Linked DNA regions of Notamacropus eugenii. The protein of the gene in region 1 interacts with the protein of each later gene in a pairwise test. Links are inferred from orthologs where the notes say so. Each region holds a gene or a part of one and is shown in the gene's direction. Other genes may lie near its edges.

The links.
Region 2: the proteins of BAG3 (region 1) and ARRDC3 interact in binary tests that used the Homo sapiens proteins (3 or more experiments, as listed by UniProt). The two-hybrid records come from large-scale screens. The link is inferred for Notamacropus eugenii from reciprocal best matches to the Homo sapiens genes BAG3 and ARRDC3.
Region 3: the proteins of BAG3 (region 1) and LITAF interact in binary tests that used the Homo sapiens proteins (3 or more experiments, as listed by UniProt). The two-hybrid records come from large-scale screens. The link is inferred for Notamacropus eugenii from reciprocal best matches to the Homo sapiens genes BAG3 and LITAF.

What each region holds. Positions count from the first base shown.
Region 1 is NC_092872.1:199,785,720-199,793,189, forward strand, and holds the start of BAG3 (BAG family molecular chaperone regulator 3), read left to right. Parts: upstream 1-4,335; 5' UTR 4,336-4,730; coding exon 4,731-4,922; intron 4,923-7,470. UniProt on the Homo sapiens protein: Co-chaperone and adapter protein that connects different classes of molecular chaperones including heat shock proteins 70 (HSP70s), e.g. HSPA1A/HSP70 or HSPA8/HSC70, and small heat shock proteins (sHSPs), e.g. HSPB8.
Region 2 is NC_092875.1:449,013,479-449,021,004, forward strand, and holds the start of ARRDC3 (arrestin domain-containing protein 3), read left to right. Parts: upstream 1-4,493; 5' UTR 4,494-4,500; coding exon 4,501-4,780; intron 4,781-7,526. UniProt on the Homo sapiens protein: Adapter protein that plays a role in regulating cell-surface expression of adrenergic receptors and probably also other G protein-coupled receptors.
Region 3 is NC_092872.1:91,387,411-91,394,487, reverse strand, and holds the start of LITAF (lipopolysaccharide-induced tumor necrosis factor-alpha factor), read left to right. Parts: upstream 1-3,982; 5' UTR 3,983-4,177; intron 4,178-7,077.

The sequences.
Region 1 (7,470 bases):
TGAGTATATGTCTCTTGCCCAAAGTGAGGTTAGCTAAGCTCAGAGAGCTCAGTGGTTACCAGGTGATGATTTTTTAAGCCATTGAAACTCACAAAGACTTATCTACAAGGGAATAGAGGAGTTGTGATTGGTGGTGATGGAGGCAGGACTCACACCCACAAAACCACCTTGCTTTGAAGTACTGCAGAGTAAGTATGTCTATCATTCAGACCCAAGAACAGGGATAAAGATTGATGGAGAAGTCTGTGCCTGAGCCAAGACCTCAACTGTCCAGAGCTCTGAGGAGTGCTGCCATTAGGAATTGAGTGGGTCCTTTCATTCTTTTTCTTAGTGGGCAACTATTGCCCTTGTTTAGGCTTTAAGTCATAGTTGCCTGGGACAAAGGTTGCTTTATCTTAGCAGCCCTATAAAGGTTATCCATAATAACACCACCAGAGGCCACACTTAATCATCATGGCTTAGGGCTACTTAATTGAAGAAGGCTTGGGAGCCTCGGTGCCCTTGGCTTCAAACACCAATTTGAATCCACAGTCCTCTGTGCTGTATAACTGGGATGGCTTGAAATCTCCAGAGCTCAGCTCTAACAAAGAGTGTCTGCAAGGGCCTATAAAAAACAATGCCTATAAGGGTTAAATCATAACAATTTTACAGACTTCAACCAACATATTTATTTATTAGTTACAAAAACTACTAAAAAGTTGAGAGGCACAAGATATACTAGATAGTGTTGGGAGCAGAGAAGATCTGAATTATAGACCTGCCTCTAACACATACTAGATGTGGGGATCATGGGCAAGTCCCTTCTTACCTCAGTGCCCCAGGAAACTCCCTAAGACTGTGTGTTGCCGACAAGTGGTAGATATGCATTTTTGGAGGAGTTTTCATACTGAGAGTTCCTTATGCTGATGAAATCACAGGTCCAGACACCCAACACAAAATAAAACTAGTTACAATATGAACTGTATTTGGCAAAGAAAGACATATAAGAATTTAAAATGCATTTTGAATTTGACTTGCAAAGAGGCAAAATGAACCCAGCCTATAAAAAGGCCCTTCTCAAGTCCCTTCTCCTCTTAAGTCTTCCTAGACCATTCAGTCTCATAATGACATCACTTTCCTTTGACCTCAACAGTGATTCAGCAATTAACAAGTCATATCCTTTATGACATTTCTTGTGTTTTGGTATAGTGCTGTTATTTAAGACCTGTTTTGGTGTCTAGAGGGGCAATGAGACAAAAGGATAGAGGGCTAGCCTTGGGGTCAAGAAGACCTGGGTTCAAGTTCAGCTTCTGACATTACCTGTATTAACCGCTGTATAATCATGGGCAAGTAACAACCTCTCAAGTCCCAAGATAACTCTCTAAGATGATAAGAAGCTGATCTATATCAAATGGAAACTAGATACCTTGATGAAATCAAAGGTAGGGGAAAAAAATTATGTAACTTTTTATTTTTATGCCTTATCTCTGCAACTAGATCATAGGCCTTTTGTGCATGATCATGGACCTTAATTTATATACTTCCTCCTAACAAGAAAAAACAGAGAATTTTAGAGCTAGAAGGCACCTCAGAAGTCATATTTTAGTGCCTTCATTTTACAGATAAGAAAATATGAGACCCACAAAAGTGAAGTCACTTGCTCAGAGTTACAGCTGGTGGGTAGTAGAGTTGGAGTTATCCCAGCTAATGGTAGATTATACAACTGGAACTAACAGAGATAGAACTGGGGCTATATAATCCGGGTTTCCTGACTCCTAAAATGATGTTCTTTCCCACTATTCTATCTTCCTTGAAATTATAAATCCCTTGAGAGAAAAGACAATGTCCTATACTTATTTGTATGCCTTCGCCCCCAGCCCAAGTGCCTACAGGGGTGGGGAACCTTCAGCCTCAAAGCCACCACATATGATCTTCTAGGTCCTCAAGTGCAGCCCTTTGATTAAATCCAAACTTCACAGAACAAATCCTTTTAATAAAAGAATTTGTTCTGTAAAACTTAGACTCAGTCAAAAGGCTGCATCCAAGGACCTAGAAGGTCACATGTGGCCTCTAGGCTGCAGGTTCCCTATCCTAGCTGACAACTTCCTGCGCATAATAATTTCAATAAAAATTTACTTGATTGATTATTTTTAACATGAAATGTTTCTTGACTATTCTTGGGACACAGTTGACTTGACTGTATGCTTACGTGAGGTAAATATGTTCCTATCACATTGTGCTGTTAGCTGTGCAAAGAGAATTGAAAATCATCTTCAACTGAATGCATTTATCAAAAATCCAGTTGGTACTATGTGAGGCATTGTCATAAGAATTATGGATCTTATACCTACATAGCCTCTTATGACCTCACAATTTAAGGTGAAATAGATGTAGGAGGACATCTTTCTCTGCCACTTAATACCTGTGTGACCTTAAGTAAATCAGTTTACCCTTTCTTGGTCTCAGTTTCCTCATCTGGTAAAATGAGGGCATTAGACTAAGGTTCTTCTGAGCTCTGAATTGATGATCTAGTGACAAGAAAATAGAGATGTTATATCAATCAGATGTTTATATCATATATAGATCAAGTATAATCATATTTTAGGGATGAATAGCTAGGGTCAGAATAAAATTAGGCTGGATAGAATTAGATGTCCTGTATTCATACTAAATAGAATAAGAGAGAAGCAGTGCCTGTTCTGTTAGAATTTATAATCCATGATAGCCTGTGGACAGATGTCAAGCACATAAATTAAATATGTAAGTTAAACATTTACATTGTATTGACAGTTTTATGAACTAAATACATAATTTCCTTGAGAGCCAGCTGCTGTGGTGCTCCTGTATTGTAAAAGTGTTAGGCAACATTGTGTGACTGGAAGACTTGCCACAGACCATTTTCAATATGTCCAGAAGAACTGGGGATATGGGATCAGAGTGACCACTGATAGTCACCCTCCACTGGTAGTCAGTACAACATTGTTTCCTGCATTGTAAAACCATGTAGGGCATTCTTCTTTGAATTTATATGATTCTGATATCTCAGCCTCTAATCTGTAGGGTGGAGAATTAGACTCAATATTATTACACAAACCATTTAGATGATTCAAGGGGAAGAATGAACTGACAGAATTTGAAATTCTAGGTAACAACCATTTCAACCCTTTTCCCAGTCTGGACATAAAATTTTCGTAGAATTACTGAAGTGCAAAGGCTTCCCATCTGGGAGTTAATGAAAAGATTAGTTGACCTTGTTTCCTTCTTCACAGATGCACATCAAGATTGATATTTCTGCTTTTGTACTTTAATTCAACATATATTTTGTTTAATGGCAATCAACTCTTAAAAAATAAAGATAATTTTTCCTCTTTAAAATGGTTCATTGAAAAATGAAGTTCAGTGCTTTGTATTTAATATTGAACAGTCTTGGTCCAGAGAAGAAATGAGGAAATTCTCCCTCAGATCCTTGGAGAAGTAAGGGCCTATAGTATGGAACATTCTGTTATTGTCCTGGGTGATTTGGTGTGTTGATTAATTTTGCTTAATTGTTCTTTGGCACAAAGATTGGGGTGAATGGGGAATGGTGGTTGAAGGACATGTCCTGAAAAACCTGTAATGTAAAAACAGAACAGGAAGGGGTAACTGACTTGGGTGAGAAAAGTAGGGGAAAAGCTTTGAATTGATGGAAGTTATTTTTTCTTCTTGGGAATGCACAGGCTTCAGACCTACAAAACGCCTTCTCTTTGGGGGAAATAATGTTAGATCCGATTTTCCACGACTCTTTGGGATATAGAACTCAAGCAGAACTACTCCATGTAGCATATTTAACATTTCTTACCCCCAGAAAACTCAAAAATACTAAGGATGAGATTCAAAAACACAAGGTAGGAACCAGGACATCTGCATGTGTTTTCTCTTAATCTTAACCTGCTATGAAATAGCCATAAAGAATGGAAAGGGAAAAATGAAACCTTATTAGCTAGCTAGCACACGAATTAGTTACTGGGAACGCTTCAGTTCTACAAACATCCAGTCCAAATGCCATCATTTTGGGCAATCCCTTGCCATTTTCTCTTTTTAAAAAGAGTCAATAGGCCCACATTCCCAATCAGATTTCTTTTTCGACCGGCAGTCGGAAGGGGTGGGTTGCTACTGAAAAGGCCAAATTTTCTTCAGTTATCCAGCTCTTCTCCCTTTCAACTTACAAACGGGAGCCAACTGCAGTCGAGTAAAGTAAAGGCAGGCTAAAGCAGCCCCGAACCGGAGGCCTAGGTGGAAAGACTAAGGGCCACAATAATAGCCGATGACTCAGGGCGGAGCTCTGCATCCTGGAAAAGGGGCACAGCCAAGTCTGCTGGATGGAACCAGAAGTTTCTACTGAGCCAGTTGCTTCCTCCTCGCTCTCTTCGTTATCTCCTCCGTGCCTCTGCCCCGGGAGGACTATTTCCAGATACTTCCAGCTCTTTCCTCTCACGTCACTCCACCATTAATTCATAAAGGTGCTCGGAGGCGGACTTAAGGACACCCTTGTAGCCAGCCTCCTTCGCCTCCTCTTTAACTTCACCCTCCCCCCGCCTCCGCCCTGTCTAGCCCAACCCAGTTCAACTCGCTCTCCCCGCCCCAGCCGAGCCCCAGCCCCGGCCCCAGCTAGTAGCAGCCTCGCCAGCAAGCAGCAGCGGCAGCCACAGCTCTAGACACAGCAGCAGCAGAAGTCACCGCTACGGTAGCAGAAGTCGCTCCTTCGGCAGAGCATGAGCGCGGCCACTCACTCCCCAATGGTTCAGATGGCGACCAGCAACAGCGGCAATGGCGGGGAGCGAGACCCCTTGCCACCAGGCTGGGAAATTAAAATCGACCCACAGACGGGTTGGCCATTCTTCGTGGATCACAACAACCGGACCACTACATGGAACGACCCGCGCGTCACGCCCGAGGGGCACAAAGTGAGTGGTCCTTCCTCCCCCACGACCTCTGGCTTTGCTTACTCTTCACCGCGGGGTAGCCACCATTGGAGGGTTGGGGGCTTCGGAGGAGAAAGCTGAAAGGACTGGGGAGGGACGTCTTTGGGGATAGGACAAGGAGTAAGGAGTACATAGACCTCCCTTCTCTTCCGCTTTTGGTTTGTTTCGGGGAGAGTGTAGCACGGGGCAGGGAAAGTTGGGAGCAGAAGGAAGAGCCGTAGGGCGGGGATCGAGATAGGCCGGGTGGTGGTGGTGGTCCGGGAATGTGTCTGCGTGTGCGCGCGCGCGCCCTGCTGATGTACAGGTTACTCTGTCCAGCGGCGTGGCAGTGCGGAGAGGAAGGAGACGTGGGGGAAGGACCGTAGAGAGTTCTGGACAAGACATGGGCGGCTAGGCAAGTGGTAGAGAGATCGGGCCTGGAGACCGAGACAGATTAGCCAGGTCACTGCAGGGGGGGCGGGGAGAGGCAGGGAGATCGGGCACGGGGACTGGCCAGGGAAGGGCAGGAGGTGGAAAGGGCATTCATTGGCAAGCCCCTTGTCTCCCCACCCTACCCCACCCCCCAAGTAGAAAGCAGGAGCTGCCTTTTGTCTCTGACGCACTGCAGCTCTTCTTAGTGCGCTAAATCATTTGATACTTTAGCCCTGTAATGTTTATTTAAAGTTGGTTAAGTCCACCCGAGCAGCAGAGACACAAGGGAAACTGATTTATTCTTCAGCTGTGTCCACAGGTTTAACAGCGGACTACGTACAGCGCAAAAGGCACACAGACACAACAATTGAGTAGGGTTGGCTGTCTTCTTTTGCTCCTTTTGCAAGTTGCCTGGGAAGTTTTGTCTCCTGCCTAGTTTGAATGTATGTTCACAGGAGAGAGGCATTTCTATTCTAAATAAGTCCATAGATAGAGATGCTTGTGAGAGAGGCAGTCAGATGTAGAGGAAAACCTAGAGGTTCCAGATTTAGAGGACCTAGATTTGAATTCTAGGCTTTACCCCTTATGTGGGTGACCTTGGGCAAAGCACTCAAGTTCTGTGTGCCTCAGTTTCCCCATCTAAGAAAGTTGGACTGGATGATTGATAAGAATTCTTCCTGTTCAGATCTCCTGATCCCTGTTATATGATTTCTGAGTTACATTTGGTCCAGAAAAATGTTACATTGAGTTGCCATTTTTGCTATCAGTTGACAAGATAAAAGGACACGGTAACTTTCATTTTAAGGAACAATCTAGTCTCTTGATATTTTGTGGTGCTTGTATTGTTTAGTTTTAAAATTTCCATTCTTAATGAAAATATCTTTAGTAAAACTGTCTCTAGCTTGGGGTGGAACACCAAGAAGCAGTGATTCAAAAAATTCTATCTTTGTGTCAGGGCCATGCCTCGGCAGGTCTCTGGAGCTTTCTGAGCATAGTGGAAAAGCTAGAAGAGAAAGTCAGAGGTTGCTAAGGCCTATGTTGAAAGAAGTTTGGGTGGACTCTATGGAGCCACAACATTTGGCTCAGGGCCTCCAAAGCCTGGCTTCTTTAGCTGCCAAGGAAGGTTCCTGACTCTTCTTCTGAAATGAGTGGAAACTTCCCAGCTGTCCCCTAAAAATGGTGGGCAGGGAAGGCAAGCAGTGTTTTTCTGTTGCCCACTCATGCAGCAGCAAAAAGCAGAGTCCAGCTAGCTGTGAAGGTGACTCTCCTTGTCTCAGCATTAGGCCAGCAGCACATTTGCGGCTTTTCAGGCCTAGCTCTTGCCAGAGTACTTTTGCTCCTAAGCTAGGCTCCTGGATTTACAGGAGAGATATCATTTTAGTATTGTTAGTAATGGGCTTTTTTGTACCTTTACTTTTATATTACAATTAAAGCTAAATACCCTAAGAAAAAAATAAAACCAACTCTTATTTCCAACATTTAAAGAATGTAATTGAAGAAGGAATAGTCAACACTTCATAATAAATACTAAAGTCATAGCCAGAAGGTCAATAAAGCAATAATTTGAATTAATAGAAGGCACTCAAGTATGAAAAAAAAGAATTTAGGGAAGTATAACTAGTATTTTAAGAAAAATTTTATTGCTTTTTCCCACATGAGTCTACCTACCAAGCCTTGGGTCTCAGTTTCTCGAACTACAGATGGCCTCAGATTATCCCCTCTAGTATCAAGATTCCGATGCTATGATCCCATAATCTTAGAACATTGAGGAAGCTCCCTTATCCACAGACACTAAATTCACAAATAATTAATTGTGTACTCATTTCTAAAAATTAGCACAGCTGACTAATTTTCTATAATTAACATCCGACATAATTGTATACATGAATTTTTGAATGTGCAACCACTTGGGTGGGGTAGAAATCATCTTACGGAGATTTTGTATTGTAGCTGGGTTGGCATTTTAAATCAGCTTAGAAGATATCAGGTAGTTATAGAACATTTATTTTGCCATGCCATTTCTGTATAGACAAGCAGCTTATGGGAAACCTGTAGAGATCAGGAAAACTCAAGGCAGTTATTAATAAACTATCAAGTTTGAACATTTACTGCATGTGTT
Region 2 (7,526 bases), on another chromosome or scaffold:
ATAATATCCGTTTGCCTCAGTTTCCTCAACTATAAAATGAGGATTATAAGAATAACTCCCTCCCAGGGTTGTTGTAAGAATCAAATTAAATAAAAATTGTAAAGCATTACGTCAATTTCAGCTAGCAGTAGCTGTTTAGTCATTTCAAGCGTATCCGACTCTCTGTGACCTCAGTTGGGGTTTTCTTGGTAAAGACATTGGCCTGATTTGCCATTTCCTTCTCCAACTCATTTTACAGATGAGGAAACTGAGGCAAACAGGAATAAATGATCTGCCAATGGTCATACAGCTAGTGTCTGAGGCCAGATTTGAACTCAGATTCTCCTGACTTCAGAGGCAGTGCTCTCTCTACTGTGTGACCCACTGGAAGAAAACTTCAGGGGAACAGAAATTAAGAGCCCCTCCATTCACTGTTCTTTTATTAATAATTTCATAAATATTTCACAAATATTTTAGTTTTGATTAGAAAAACCATTTCCACCAAGATGCTTAAAATTTAATAAGCTTTGTTTATCGTTCAGACTCTTCTGAATAAGCAGAAAAAAGGAAAAAATAATTATTTCGTCTAAATGGACCAGTGGACAGGTTTGCAAACTAGACTGGGGGGAAGGGATACACCTCTTGGTAGTGCCTGCTATGTGCCAGGCACTGTGTTAAGAGTTTTAATATTATCTCACTGGAACCTCTACTTCTTTTTCAACTTGCTGGCCAGAAATGAGTCTAGAGTAGGGATTTTCAGAAGAGAAAGGAGGTAACTTGCAGCAGTGGGAGGTTGTTCGGAGGATAGGAAGCAGCATGGAACTATGCACAGAGGCAACAGGGGGACAAGTGAACAAAGAGGGCAGAAAGATGGGCCTGACAGGAGTACAGAGAGTTAGCAGATGAGTAGGAGGAGATGACATAGGAGTTTAAAGTTGGGGTGTAGTAGGGGAAAAGCCTTGGTGGTGAGTAGGAATAACTTAAACTTATGCAAAAAACAAAAAGGACCAAGAAAAGCTATTTGAGAAGGATAACAACATGGTTATAACACAGGAAGAAAGGAAGGTTATTCCGACTGTGGTATTTTAAACTGACTCAATGGTGGATAATTTGGACAAGAAATCCTGAAAGGGAAAAAAATGCCATAATCATGAGAGAAGACATTCAAATTTTGGACAAATATTTTTTTTTTCACAAGAAATAGAGAAAAGCAGACACAGATTTTAAGAGATACTGAACGAAGAATCAGGATTTTATAGTTTTAGACCCTGAAACAAAAGGAAACAGAGAAGCAAAAATGAACCTAAAATTCATGTAAGATCTCTTATCTGAAAAACATACAAGAGAAAAGTACTCTGAATAAAAAGAAAGTATAAAGTACTAAGAAAGCATATTACATTTTTCAGGAGTTAAAGTGTTAGTGGAGAAGCAATAAACACTAACTTAGTATTTCTTTAGCATTACTAAAAGGATTTTTATAAACAAAAACTCAAAAGACAAACAACTAGATAAGAGCAAACCCAACAGATAAACAAACTCTAAATAAGTCCAGAATAAAAAACATTTTTAAAATAGAGAAGAAATAAATTGGGAACCGAAAATACTGTAGAGCCACTAAACAAAACTAAGACTGTTCTTTGAAAAGGATAACAAAATTAACACACCTTTACCCGACTTGATTTAAAAAGAAATACTGGCAATTTATTGAATCCAAAAGGCCCAAATATTAGGAATTGTATAAAACCAAGAATAAATTATAAACTGTACCTACTGTTTTTAACCATGGCCTTGTAAAGCATGGTTTTCAGAAATATCTGTATTTTCACAGGAGAAATTTCTCTCCAAGTTCTGAAACATCCAGCCACTGATAAACTGTATTTAATCATGGAAAACGCCAACTAGCACTGCAACCTTTCTCATAGTGTACAGTAATTCTTTCTGTCATTACTGAACTAAATAGCATTTAATACTGAAGAAGCTGAAGTAGGCATTTTGGCAAGTTCAACAGCTTTACCACTAGGTGGCGGAGAAACACAAGTCTTATCTGTACTCCAAGACTAGGCTAGCCCTTCAAAGGATTTGATAAGACCCATAGAATTTCCACCAGGTGTCAACCAAGAGAAGATATACTTTTTTCCCCTATGAAAGACAGACCCATTATGCTGAACACAACCGTCCAAATTAAGAACAATTCAAAAAATACTTATTAAGACTTTCAAAGTTTATTAAAGTTTGTAAATTTCGAAATTCATGAAACACTGTCCACAAAAATCTAGTGAAGCAGAAAATATAGCTATTTCAGCCTCATTTTACAGGCTCACAAGTTCAGTGACTTACACATGGTCACACAGTTAATAAGGATAGAACCCTGGGGTCTGACCTAGGTGTTGACTTTGTCTAGTACACTGGCTCCACCATATCATGTAATTTTCTACATTAATGCATTGTATCCTATCCTAGGTCAGAGGAGATACTTAGTCTCATGAACAATAAATTCATAAACAAAGATCTCTAGCTGGATGGGAATTTGAAGGTTACTTATTCCCTCATTTTGCAGACCAGAAATCTGAAGTTCATAGCACTTAAAAGACTGGCCCAAAAGTCACAAAGTAAGAAACTAGAATTTGAACTCTGGTCCTTTTCCCCCAAAAGCAGTGCTCTCCACATCATTATAAGTCTGAGTCTCTGGCCTTTAAAGAGTTCATACTTCAGCAAAATACTAATATATCCATAGACAAGATGCAGTGACAAGAAATAAGTAAGCTATCCTCAGTCATAGGTTATTTATATATTTCACAAAGTAGTCAGCAAAACTAACACTTCATCGTGACATATCTACTCAATTTATTCCACTAAAAAAATCTAAAACAGAAATGACAATGTAGAAAAGATGACCAAAGTGTACTATTATTTTGGTCATTTTTTTGCTAAATGCAGAAAATAAGAAAAAGGGAGGGAAGATTAAAATTTTAAGTTTTAAAATATTATTTTACCATTAAACTTACCTGCAAATTTAGTAAATATCCTCAGTAGCTTACTCCTTTCTTAGACTTCATTAGAGTCAAGCTTTAGTTTTGAAGACTTTTTTTTTAAAGCAAAATTGTTTCAGTCTGAGATCAGGAAATCAGGAATTTTATATTATGAAGGAAAGTCTTCATAGCTCAACTGTTTCTAAACAGAAAAAAAAATGGGAATGTGTATCTTGAAGATGTACATCCAGAATTAATATTCTTGCTGAATAATTCAAGGTTTCCAAAGCCACACTGGTGCTTTTTAAAATAAACTATGTTTAATATCATTTAATCCAGAATTAGGATTTAAAAAAAAATCATCCACACTATTTCTCCCTACAGTGTTTTGTTCTTTTTGTAAACAGAATGTCTAAGTAAACACTTGGTCTTGTGTTTTCTAAGGTTTCATTTCTTATTTAAACCAGACAATTCTTGAAGTCCTCTCAGCACTTCTTGTCAAACCCTTAAAATACGATTTGTAGGTGGTTCCTTTAAACAGGACTCTTTCTTTTAAGGAAGTGGTCAGCCCTAATTATTTGGTCGTTGGTTGTTTTTCATGGCAATGGAGGTTAGAGATGGAGAGGGCACACAGCTCTGCTTAAATTCAACTGGCCTCTCTCCTCGTCCATGGCAAGATTCTCAAAGGAAAGGCAGGATTCCTTTGACCTCCATGGAGTCAATTTCACCCTACCTCGAACAGCAACAAATACAAAGTGTCCAATCCATCCTCCCTGAATTTGTCTGTTAACCACATATTTAAAGCCTGGGTTTGTTGTCATTTTTTTATTGCAATTTCTCTTGAAATTCATCAGATCACGTTATACCGGCCCGTCCAACAGGTTTCTCCCTTCCCCCTCCCCCTCTCCTCTTTCTCCAGCAGTGCCCGGTGGGCACAGGTCAGCCCTGCCCTCCGTGCACGCCCTGGGCGAGCGGTTCAGCAGCAGCAGCCACCCTGGCCTCCTTCCGCCTGCGTCCCCTCGTGTCCCCTGCTCTGCCATTACGGCTCTATCACGGCTATTCGAATCTGCTCGGTAGTAAAGCCTCCCATCCCACTTCTGGAGTTTTACGGTAGCCTGCGCACCAATAGGAACACTCAATGAAGAGAAGTCAGGTTCAGCTCTCCGTCTACAGCAGTCTTCTTCCCTCTGTTCTACACCTACTGTACCAGAAAGGAAGAGGGACGCGAGGGAGGGGGGAGGAAAAAGGCAGCAGCAGAGCCGTGCGCATGCTCTGTGGGGTTGTTTTTCACAAAGCTGGTTTTAAAGTGAGCTGGCAAGCTGTAGCCACCCGTCTTTGTACAGAGACCACTGATCTGAGAAGCAGCAGCATCCAGTGCTGTGACTTTTTAAGAAACCTCAATGAACTATTTGTAAAGAAGGCACTGATCCTGCCTGCAAGCCTTTTGCACGGCAAAGACATCGATCAGTGTTTAGTGAAGATCGCATTTTATATGTGATCTTGACCTTTTTTTGGTCTTACATTATATTTTTTTATAGATTTTGTTATAATCATGGTGCTGGGGAAGGTTAAGAGTTTGACAATAAGCTTTGACTGTCTTAATGACAGTAACGTCCCTGTATATTCTAGTGGGGATACAGTCTCAGGAAGAGTGAATTTAGAAGTTACTGGGGAAATCAGAGTAAAATCTCTAAAAATTCATGCAAGAGGACATGCGAAAGTACGCTGGACCGAATCTAGAAATGCTGGATCCAACACTGCCTATACACAGAATTACACTGAAGAAGTAGAATATTTCAACCATAAAGACATCTTAATTGGGCATGAAAGAGGTAAGTTTTTTTGATTATTCAGAAGTCATAAAGGAATATGATTTTCTTTAACTTGCCTCTTATTTTCTATGAATTGGTGCAATTTAACTCTTGGCTTTTCAGTTTGAAATCTGAACGTTTGTTGTAGAGAATCTTTTTTGCAGACTTGAAAATCTGAATTTTTTTTGACATCTATCGAGTGTTAAGCAGCAATGCATTCGAGCCATCTGCAAAGTGACTGTATAAGAACACTTTGCTAACTACCTCTAACATCTCTATAAGCCTCTTGCAATACGCACTTGCAATTCATGTGTACCTTATTTCTAATAGCTCCTTCCATCAGATTTCAGCATTTTAATAATATGGTTTCCAAACGCATTGCTAGAAACTGGAGTCGAATCTCAACTGGTTTTTTGTGGGGTTTTTTTTTTTTTTACTTTGCAACCTTGGCTCTACAAAATGAGTTGCAATAAAAGCATGGAGTAGCATCTTCTAATGAACGCTTAGAGGTGCATTTTAGATTTTAACATCGACATGCAATAATTTCAGAATTAATCATTGTTCCTTGAAAAAGGGCTTCCCGTAGCTTATTTTGACATATGCTATCAAACACCCCACGTGTTATTTTTTTCTTTCCTATTCAATTCCAAATTCACATCAAGCTACCTTTTTATCTTTTCTTAGAAAAAATGAAAAAAAAAAAGACTATCATCATGGTAGCTTTAAAATTTGACCAAGAGGCCATTTAGGGTCAATTCTTTTCTTTTAAGAGCATCATTTCTAACTTTGGAACATACATTGAATGAAACCGGTGCCAGTCAAAAGGAAATGTAAAGGACTTCTCACGCTAGGTCTGATTTTGGTTAAAAAAGGAAGATAAAGACTGTCAAAGGGGGAAGGGGTCCTGAGATTGCTAATCTATTGTTTGAATGGATACATTGTGGAAATATAGCAGACTCTAAGCTTGTTTTTCTAAGTTTCCACCCTTTGTTAGAAGCGGTTCAATCCTGTTTCGGACCAGTACTGGGGGGGTGAGGAGGGGCGCCTGTTCTGCTCTCAGCAGATTGGTTACACGCGTCAGGTGGTGGCGATGACTTAATTCCTAGCACCAGACTATAATGTTAAAACTGGTTATGTAATTCTTGGTCCTTCTCCTTTTTAATGCAGTATTTAGTTCAGACGTTGACGATTTTGCAGATAAAACTAAGAATTTGAGATATTTTGCCTATTTTCCCCTCTTTTTAAGCAATTTATATTCCTACCTAAATGATGCCATCTCAAGCCTCAGTCAAATGTAGGCATAAATGAAAGATAATCTCACTTCCATGTACGATGCAGCATGTCAGGGTGTTACGGGGAAAATGACGTTTCCATAGAATAAAACATTTTAAAACTATCTGCCCATGATGTGCAGACTTTCATTGTTAAGGCCCTCAAACATCGAACCACCCTATAAAGAGCAAATGCCTAATCACATTCCTGGTGCTTATTTAAAAGTAGCCACCGGAGTTTGCAACTAATCACCTAAATTATCCATTTTTTTTTTTGGCGGGGGGAAGGGGGTAGGTAAATTGTTGAGTAGATATAAAAGACGTAGTTAAGAGAGACTCGCAATGGCTGGGGGTAGGGAAGAATGATGGGAAAAAATGAGAGCGCAGAATACACTTTAATTTGTGTCTGCCATATTTCATTAACAAGAACCTGTTATCACCCACCCCCACCCACTCACCACCCCCAGTCCGACCAAACGCGGACCGACGTTAACCTGGAATAGTTTCAATGACTTAGACCAGGGACCTCTCAAACTAGCCTGGTAACCGAGGCCACGCCCCGTGCCGGCAGCGATAGGCGGAGTTTGGTTTGTTAGCCTGTTGCTAAGGCGATGCCAGCTGCTGATTGGATTGGGTGCCTGTCCCGGTGGGGAGAGGGAATTCAGGGAGGGAGGGGGCGAGGCTTGAGGATTCCAGTTCCTGGATTCCGGCGCGCGCCGGTAAAGGTTCCTCCTGGGCAGCCCGTCAGTCGGCCTGTCTGCGGTCCCCATCCTTGTCCCTGGGCAGCCCCACGCAGTGCTTTTGGGACCCCGCTATGCTCCGTTGCCCTTCTAACTCCCTGCATTAACCCCCCCCCCAGACCCTTGTTGGAGGCCCCCGCAGGATACTAATTGGCCTTTCGTGGAATGAAAATGCTAATTTCTCTGTCTCCTCCCCCCCCATGGCCTTGAGGATACCGGGATTGTCTTGGACCCTCCCGTTTTTAACTGGAAATAACCGGACTAGGCAGGTTTGGGGGGGAAATCTTTGCCTCTGCAGAGGCGTGGAGGAAGGTCTAAAAGAGTGTCAATTTTGTTTAAAAGGAAGGGTGTTTCCCACCCACCTAGCCATGCGATAACAAAGCGCGTTACCTTGCCATGACCCAAGAGGAGGGCTAGCCAGGACCGGAGAGAGCAAATCACTGGGGGTGGGGGACAAATCATGCTTAGTAAGTATTACGTCTTAATCACATTAGGACTTCATGCACGTCTGTGTGCATACACACCTTCCCTTTGGGGACCCTTTGCATTGCGTTTTGCGTTGCATTATTATATTTTATGACCCCCACCCTATTTTTTTTTTTTGGCTTTGTTCCGATTACCAAAGCCAGTAACACCCACCCCTAAAGATGTCTGAGCCAAACGTAGGCAAAACCCCTTGGGCACACTGGCCTGGGTGTGCAAAACCGGAAGCTTAAGAGGAGAGGGTGTCTTTGCACACACCGCCCCCACCCCGGC
Region 3 (7,077 bases), about 110 Mb from region 1:
GGATTGGGAAATCATAATTGAAACAGCTGGTGCCAAGTGTTGTGGACATAGCTTGCTGATGGATAAACATTATTGTTCAGGTTCAAATTCCAGGAAACATAACAATTCATGCAGGCAGTATGGGGATTGAGAAAAGCCCTGGGAGACAGAGACAAGGAAGTCCCTTTGATTGATGAAGGATTAGCAAAGTACTGGTCCTTGCTAGGAACCAAGGGGAGGACACCAAGGTGGGAAAGAGAGGTACAGAGATCAGAGAGAGTCAAAGACCTGTCAAGGATTCCAGTGAATGGAAACAGAACTCAGAGTCTTAGAACCTCATGCTTGGAGACCAAGCAAATAGTATTGGGTGATCTTTGGGGTCAGATCTATCCCTGAGATGGGTGTGGAGACAGTGACATGCTAAGATTAGCCAAGTAATGGTGGCAAACCTGTTTGCAGACATGAAGGGTAATTCTGAATTCCTAACTCAAATTACCTTGGTCTTAGTGTATCTCTGGAACTGGAAAGTGTGACCCAGGAAGCCTGGGGGACATCTGTGTACAGTTCTTCTGAGAAGTCTGACAACAACAAAGGAAGTTGTCTTTTTCTGCAGTCTCATTTTTCATGACTTCTCCTTTGGCTGTTAAAAGGAAGAGTGGTATTCTAAGTTTGGGGAAGCAAGCTAAAGGCTAAATCCTATTTTGGGGTGAGCAGTTTATCTTCTTGTGAAGGCAGGAACCATGGTGAGAACTGGATACACATAGCTGATGCTCTTTCATGCTTTTATATGAAAAACAAGACTAAAACACAGAAGGCAGTCTGGAAAAGTCCCCGAGATTTAACTTTGCCCGCCAGGCAGGGGCTGCTGTTCTGATTACAGAGGGTCACCATCTTCAGACAATTAAATTAGCTGTAGGTAATTGCCTGCTTGCAGGCAAGGCTCTCTGGCTTAGCACAGAAGCGCTCTGTTTGTATGTCTTTCTCGGCAAACAATTGCATCTCCATTTCAGGGCATGATCTCAGAAGCCTTGGAAAAAAGAGAACATTGTTCAGTGATAAATATATGCACCACTAAGTTGCCTTGGTGAAGAGGAAGAGTTCACTTACAGAGGCTGGCTCTGGCAACTACTTATAGTGCTCAAGTCTGATTATGTACGCCCAGAGGGGAGAAAAAATTAGCTGAAATCAGGGCTCCACTTTCAAGACTGGTTCATGTGATACCATATGTAACCAAGGATAGCAAATACACTTCCAAATCCCCTATGAAGTCAACTGAGAGCTGGAATCTCCCTAGACTTGGCAGTAGCAAGAGTTCAGTTTCCTGTGTACTAGGAGTTAGTCAGTATGTTTTTCCTCCTGCAGGGTTATAACAGGGTAGCACATGAAACAAGTGGCATTATTTTTTTGTGCCCTGCTGGGAAGCTGCTGGTTGGAAATCCAAGTGGTGTTTTTTACCTCGGAATTTTTACAAAAAAGAAAGGAAGGAAGAAAGAATTAAGAAAGCAAGGAAGGAATTGAGAAGGGAAGAGAGAAGAAATGTAGGGAAGAGGGAAAGTTGGAAGGAAAGAGGAAAAAAGAAAGAAGAAAATTAAGAAAGGAAGAAAATAAATTAAGAGAGGAAAGAAGATTATAAGTTTAAAACTATTCTAATAAGTAACCTCAAGGTCCTACTAGTAACTTTAAACATTTGAAAAAAATAAAGATTATTGCTTAAACTCGAGTTAAATGTCTGTTATGTTCAATGAATCAAGGGAAAGGAGATAAAGAAAAACTGTGAGAAAAAGTGAATTTTTAAGACACATGGAAAATTAGGCATATGATATATTTTTACTACATCATATTAAAAAATCAAACGAGTTTGGTTTTTGCTTTACTATTTTGGTTTCTTTCCTATCCCCACCTCCAAGTCTCTTACTTACTGGTACAGGACTCTGTTCAGGGATAGCTTAATGATATGGTCTCTTTTTGTCTGCCAAAGAGCCCTTCAGTTGAAAGGTGACAGTGAACCAGTTATCATGGAGGAAACATATGGTCTGGTTCTAAGTAATAATATATTGCTAAAGTGCTGTACTTATTGAAAGTTTACAGAGACGAAGATGAGTGACATCAGGGTATAATGCAGAGAAGGTCAGCGTTGGAGTGAAGAAGATCCAGGTTCATGCTCTGCCTCTGACACGTATAGCTTTGAGACCATGGGCAAATCATTTAATCTCAGTGCTTTAGGTCTAGACAATTTTCTAAGACTATAAATTGTAGAGAAGTTACCAATCTGCATTGGTAGAGGGAGTTTCCTCACTTGGGAGTTCCTTATACCGATGAAATCATAGATATAGTACCTATCCATATAGATATATACACATAGATGACGACCAGACATTCCCTATATTGATGAAATCGCAGGTCCAATGTTTATTCATACACACATAAGCACACACCTTTTAACTCATCAGAGGAAAAGCATTGTTGGGTAGATTCTTTATGGAGGTGTTATGGAAAGAAATGGAGAAGTATAACAGGATAAAACATACTTGCTGTGTTGCAATCCATTCTGATGAGATCATAGATTTATTGATGAATTTTTCACAAACTTTGCCAGACTGATATATAGCCCCTTTTAAAACTTCTAGTTTTGCTGCACTGAGTTGGGTTGTCATGGTGATTTTGGTGGAAGGACTCTGGGAGTGGGAGTCATGAGACTGGGGTTCTAGTCCAGGATTTGTCACTGACTTATTCTGTGACCTTGGATAGGTCATTTCACAACTACTAGCTTCCCTTTCCCCAATTGTAAAATGGAGTTCTCTGATGTTTATTAAAGGAAAATTGGAGGAAGTTGTGGAGGAACTTTGCATAGAAAGTTAGTGGTGGAGATAAGATTTTGAGTTACTGCTTTCCATTGACATTTGTGACTCAGAATTCATGGAAAATGGGAGCAGACATAAATCATTGGTTCAGCTAGGTCTGTCCCAGTGGATAGAGTGCCCGTCCTGGAGTCAGGAGGACCTGAGTTCAAATCCTGTTTCAGATACTTACTAACTGTGTGACCCTGGGCAAGTCATTTAACTCTGTCTTAGTTTCCTTATCTATAAAAACAAGCTGAAGAAGGAAATGGCAAACCACTCCTGTATCTCTGCCAAGAAAATCCCAAAGGGGTTGGGGATGGGTTGGACACCACTGAACAACAACGATAATAGGTCATTCTAGAAAGGGCAAAGAGGACAGAAGAAAGATTGCGTATAATCAGCTCAGTGAATTCCCCTGGGGGAAGTGGTCATTGGCTCCTCTTGAGAGAACGAACAGGGAGAAGTTAGACTGTAGAAGGACCACACCAAAGCGTGTGAGAAAGAAGTAATCGGGTGGAGACTGAAATCTGGGAAGGGCAGACAGGGGATGAGAAGAGTGTAACTGGGGAAGGAAATGAAGGCAAAACTGGACCAAAAAGGGAGGAAATTTGAGGGAGAAAAGAGCAGTGCGATATCTGATGTATTGGGAGTTAGGTGACCCCGAGTCCTAGTATCTAGTTGTGTCCCAAAATAACTGTGAGCCTGGGAACGTGACTAATTCTCTCTGGGCCTCAGTTTCCTCCTCTGTAAAATGAGAAAGTTGGACCAGATCAAAGGTACTTAACCTGGAGTCGGTGGACTTAAGGCGGTGGGGCGCGGATAGATTTCTAAGGCACAGTGAACGTGGCCAAAAAAAATTACATCTGTATTTTCGCCAACCTTTGGATTCTTTTGTAATCCTATGGATTTCATGCATTTCTGATTCTGAGGAGGGCTTTACCAGACTGGAAAGGGGGCCATGACCTAAAAAAGGTCTGGACTGGACGATTTTTAAGGCTCCTTCCAACTCCGAGAGTTTCTGAATCAGAGGATGGAGAGGCTAAAGGGCTCTTCAGCAACTGGACAGGACGGCCAGAGGGAAGCCACCGGCTAACGAGCAGGACCAGGGAGCCTTTAGCCACAAGAGGAAGGGGCTGGGCAGGGAAGGGAAGGGGGCGGAGAGCGAGACTAGGCGGGACGGGACGGGAAAGGACGGGACGGGGCTGCAGCTCTCCGGAGCCGGGCCAGGAGGCGGGGAGAAGCCGGAAGCCTGTCGAACTGCGCTGCCCGCCCCGGTCCTCTCAGACCCGCCCCCTCGCCTGCCCCGGCGAGCTCAGACCTCCGGCTCGGCACGGCTCGGCTCGGCTCGCTAGGCGCTGGTAAGTGCGGGCCTCCTCGAACCCAGACTGCGGTGGGTGGGGGGTGAGGAGGACCGAGAGCTCGTCTTGGTGAGTTTCGAGGCAGGGGACGGGGGTTCAGGGAGGGGCAGAGGGTGTGATGGCCACCTTCAGACTGGTCCTGGATCGGAGCCTGGCCCGAGGGGAGGGGGCGGGCTGCGGCCAGCCCGGGGCCCCGCCGCCGCCTTTCTTTCCTCGGCACCTTCTCCCTGGATGGCTCCTCGCTTACCAGGAGCTGACTGTGTTGGGGTCGGGTTCGTTTAAAAAAAAAAATCTGGGAGACCTCGGGGCATACCTCGATGGTCTCTCCGTCCCTAATGTTCTGGTTTCAGACGTGCTTAGAACCCAGGACTGGAAGTCCCCGAGTGGGCAGAAGTTGAGTCCTTCCTCCCACGCTGGCTCAGTTTAAGGAGGGCAGGCAGGCAGGCATCTTCCCTCCTCCCAGGGCAATCCTTCTGGGCGAGTTAAAGGGGAGAAGAAAACACCACCCACACGTCCTCCGGGACTTGGGGGCAGCTTCAGGTGGTTCGGGACTTGGTCCTTCCTTAGGCTCTTTGGTTGTGCGGCTCCGAAAGGAAGTTCGTACGAGCTGAAGTGCCAACAGGTTCGCACCGCGTTGGACCACCCTGTTCTGGATCTGAAGGAGGCCAGCCAAAGGGAGGGAACTTGCCTCTAGGATATGGACTGACAATCCCTCCCGCCCCTCCCTCCCCCCCCCCCCGCCCCCCATCCCCCCATCCCGGCCTGTGTACCGGAATGGAATGGAAAGGAAAGGGTCTAGAAGCTTTGAACTGATCAGGAGGGGGAAGTTCTCGGTAGGTAACTGAAGGAACTTAGGAGCTGGAGCTGAGGTGTAGCAGATGTCCCGCGGTTGGGGCAGGATGAGTGTCGTGGACGAGCTTGGTAACTGTGTCGCTGCTTGCCAGAGGGACTGGCCAGACTATTTGCAAAGGCATGTGAAGTCACTGGTCCAGTTTGCAATAACTGGAGGAGGTTTCTATTTTTATTTCCCAGGGGAGTCCAGTGATTTGAGTGAGGTCAGAGACTTGGAGGCAGAGCCAGAAGGAAAACTCAAGCTATGTGTTCAAAGTCAGAAAAAAAAAAACCCTACTGTGGTAGCCTCCAGATCCCAAAGAAGGACTCATGGCTCTTTTTGGAAACAGTTTGTGGATACTTTCATGGGCGCAGTTGCCACACTGCTCCTTCACTCAGTCATTCAAATATGAGGAGACAGATGTTTGTTCACCTCTGTTCGACATCATATGACGAACACATTACTACTTCCCTTCATTTGAACCTTGAGACAGGAAGACCTGAGTTCAAATATAGCCTCAGACATGCTCTAAATGTGTGACCCTGGGCAAGTCACTTAACCACCCTCTGCCTCAGTCTCCTTATCTGTAAAATGGGGCTAATAATAGCACCTACCTCCCAGGGATTTCATGAACATCAAATGAAATGATGTTTGTAAAGTGCTTTCCAAATCTTAAAGTTCCATAAAAATGTTGTTATTATGATAACGTTATTACTAGATATGTAGTTCTTAGCTCCTGAAGTGAGAAGGTGGAAGTATTCACATTCCTGAAATAAAAGCATGTTGAAGATCTGCTTACTGTCCATTCGCTTTGGTTACTGACTTCTTTCAGCACCTTACAGTTTCCTGTTTCCATATCTAGACTAAAATGTTAATTTGTTGTTTCATAATCTAGAGCACATGGGATGGCCATGTCTCCAAGCCTGTGTGATCCTGGGCAAGTCACTTAGCCTCTCTGCCCCTCTCCTCACCACCAGCATTGTCTAACGTGTTTTCTCAGCAGGGAATTCCATATATCACTGGGGTGAAGTTCCCACATAAGGAAACAGGGAAAGGAAGCAAATCATTTATTAAGCAAATATTATGTGCCAGGCACTGTACTAAACACTTTACAAATATTATCCCATTATAACATTAACGATTTCTTTTAGACCTGAGATTTTTACTCTTGTTTCCAAGAACGTAGAATTTTTGAATAACAGTTTTAAGTATGATTGATTTCCTATGTACTCCTCTGTATTTCATCTTATGCGTTTAAATACATGCTGAGAAGGGCTCCATACTTTGTCTCAACCAGATGGCCAAAGATGTCCATGACATATACAAAAAAGTTTAAGAACTTCTGATTTAACATGTCTGGTCCAATGGAATTCATACTAATTAGACATTGGGAAACATCCAAAAGGGATCCAGGTTTATTGTAAAAATAATTGTGCAAATATGTGGGGTTTGGTCTTAGTTTAAAACTACAACTATTTCTCATTAAGTCTGTGCTGAAGCTGGTTTTCTTTTAGGCTATAGGATTATTTATACTTTGCCACTGCATGTTTTTTTAATGGGATTGAGTTCATTTACCTTTTAAAATTATTATTGGGAAATTCAAGGTTTCTTGAAGTCATCTCGACTTCTAAAGTTGGTGTTTTCTTTGCAAAAATGTTGCCAGGAAGATTCAGCTGCTAACCTTCCTAGGTAGATAGATTTCTTTTAGGCAGTTGAGTTTATGTTCTCTCACTTGAAACTTGAAACTAAAGTTTTGCCTGAATTATATCAACTGTAAAAATCCCCCGAGACACGTTACTGAAAAGTAATGGCTTGCTTTAGATTGTGGTAAGACTACTTCATCTTTCATAGTCCCTGCCTCCTACCCCCTAACCTCAACCCTCCTCATCTTGGGCCAAGTTGCTTTTCTTGCAAGTTGGCAGTTTTAAATTATTATTTCCTAGGCATGCGTTATTAGTAAAACAATAAATTCACTGGGATGGAAGATAGCAACATGGAGTACAATTAATAGCTTTAATCCAAACATTTAAGATAAGTATTAAGTTTTCATTTCGTTATATGGTTTCAA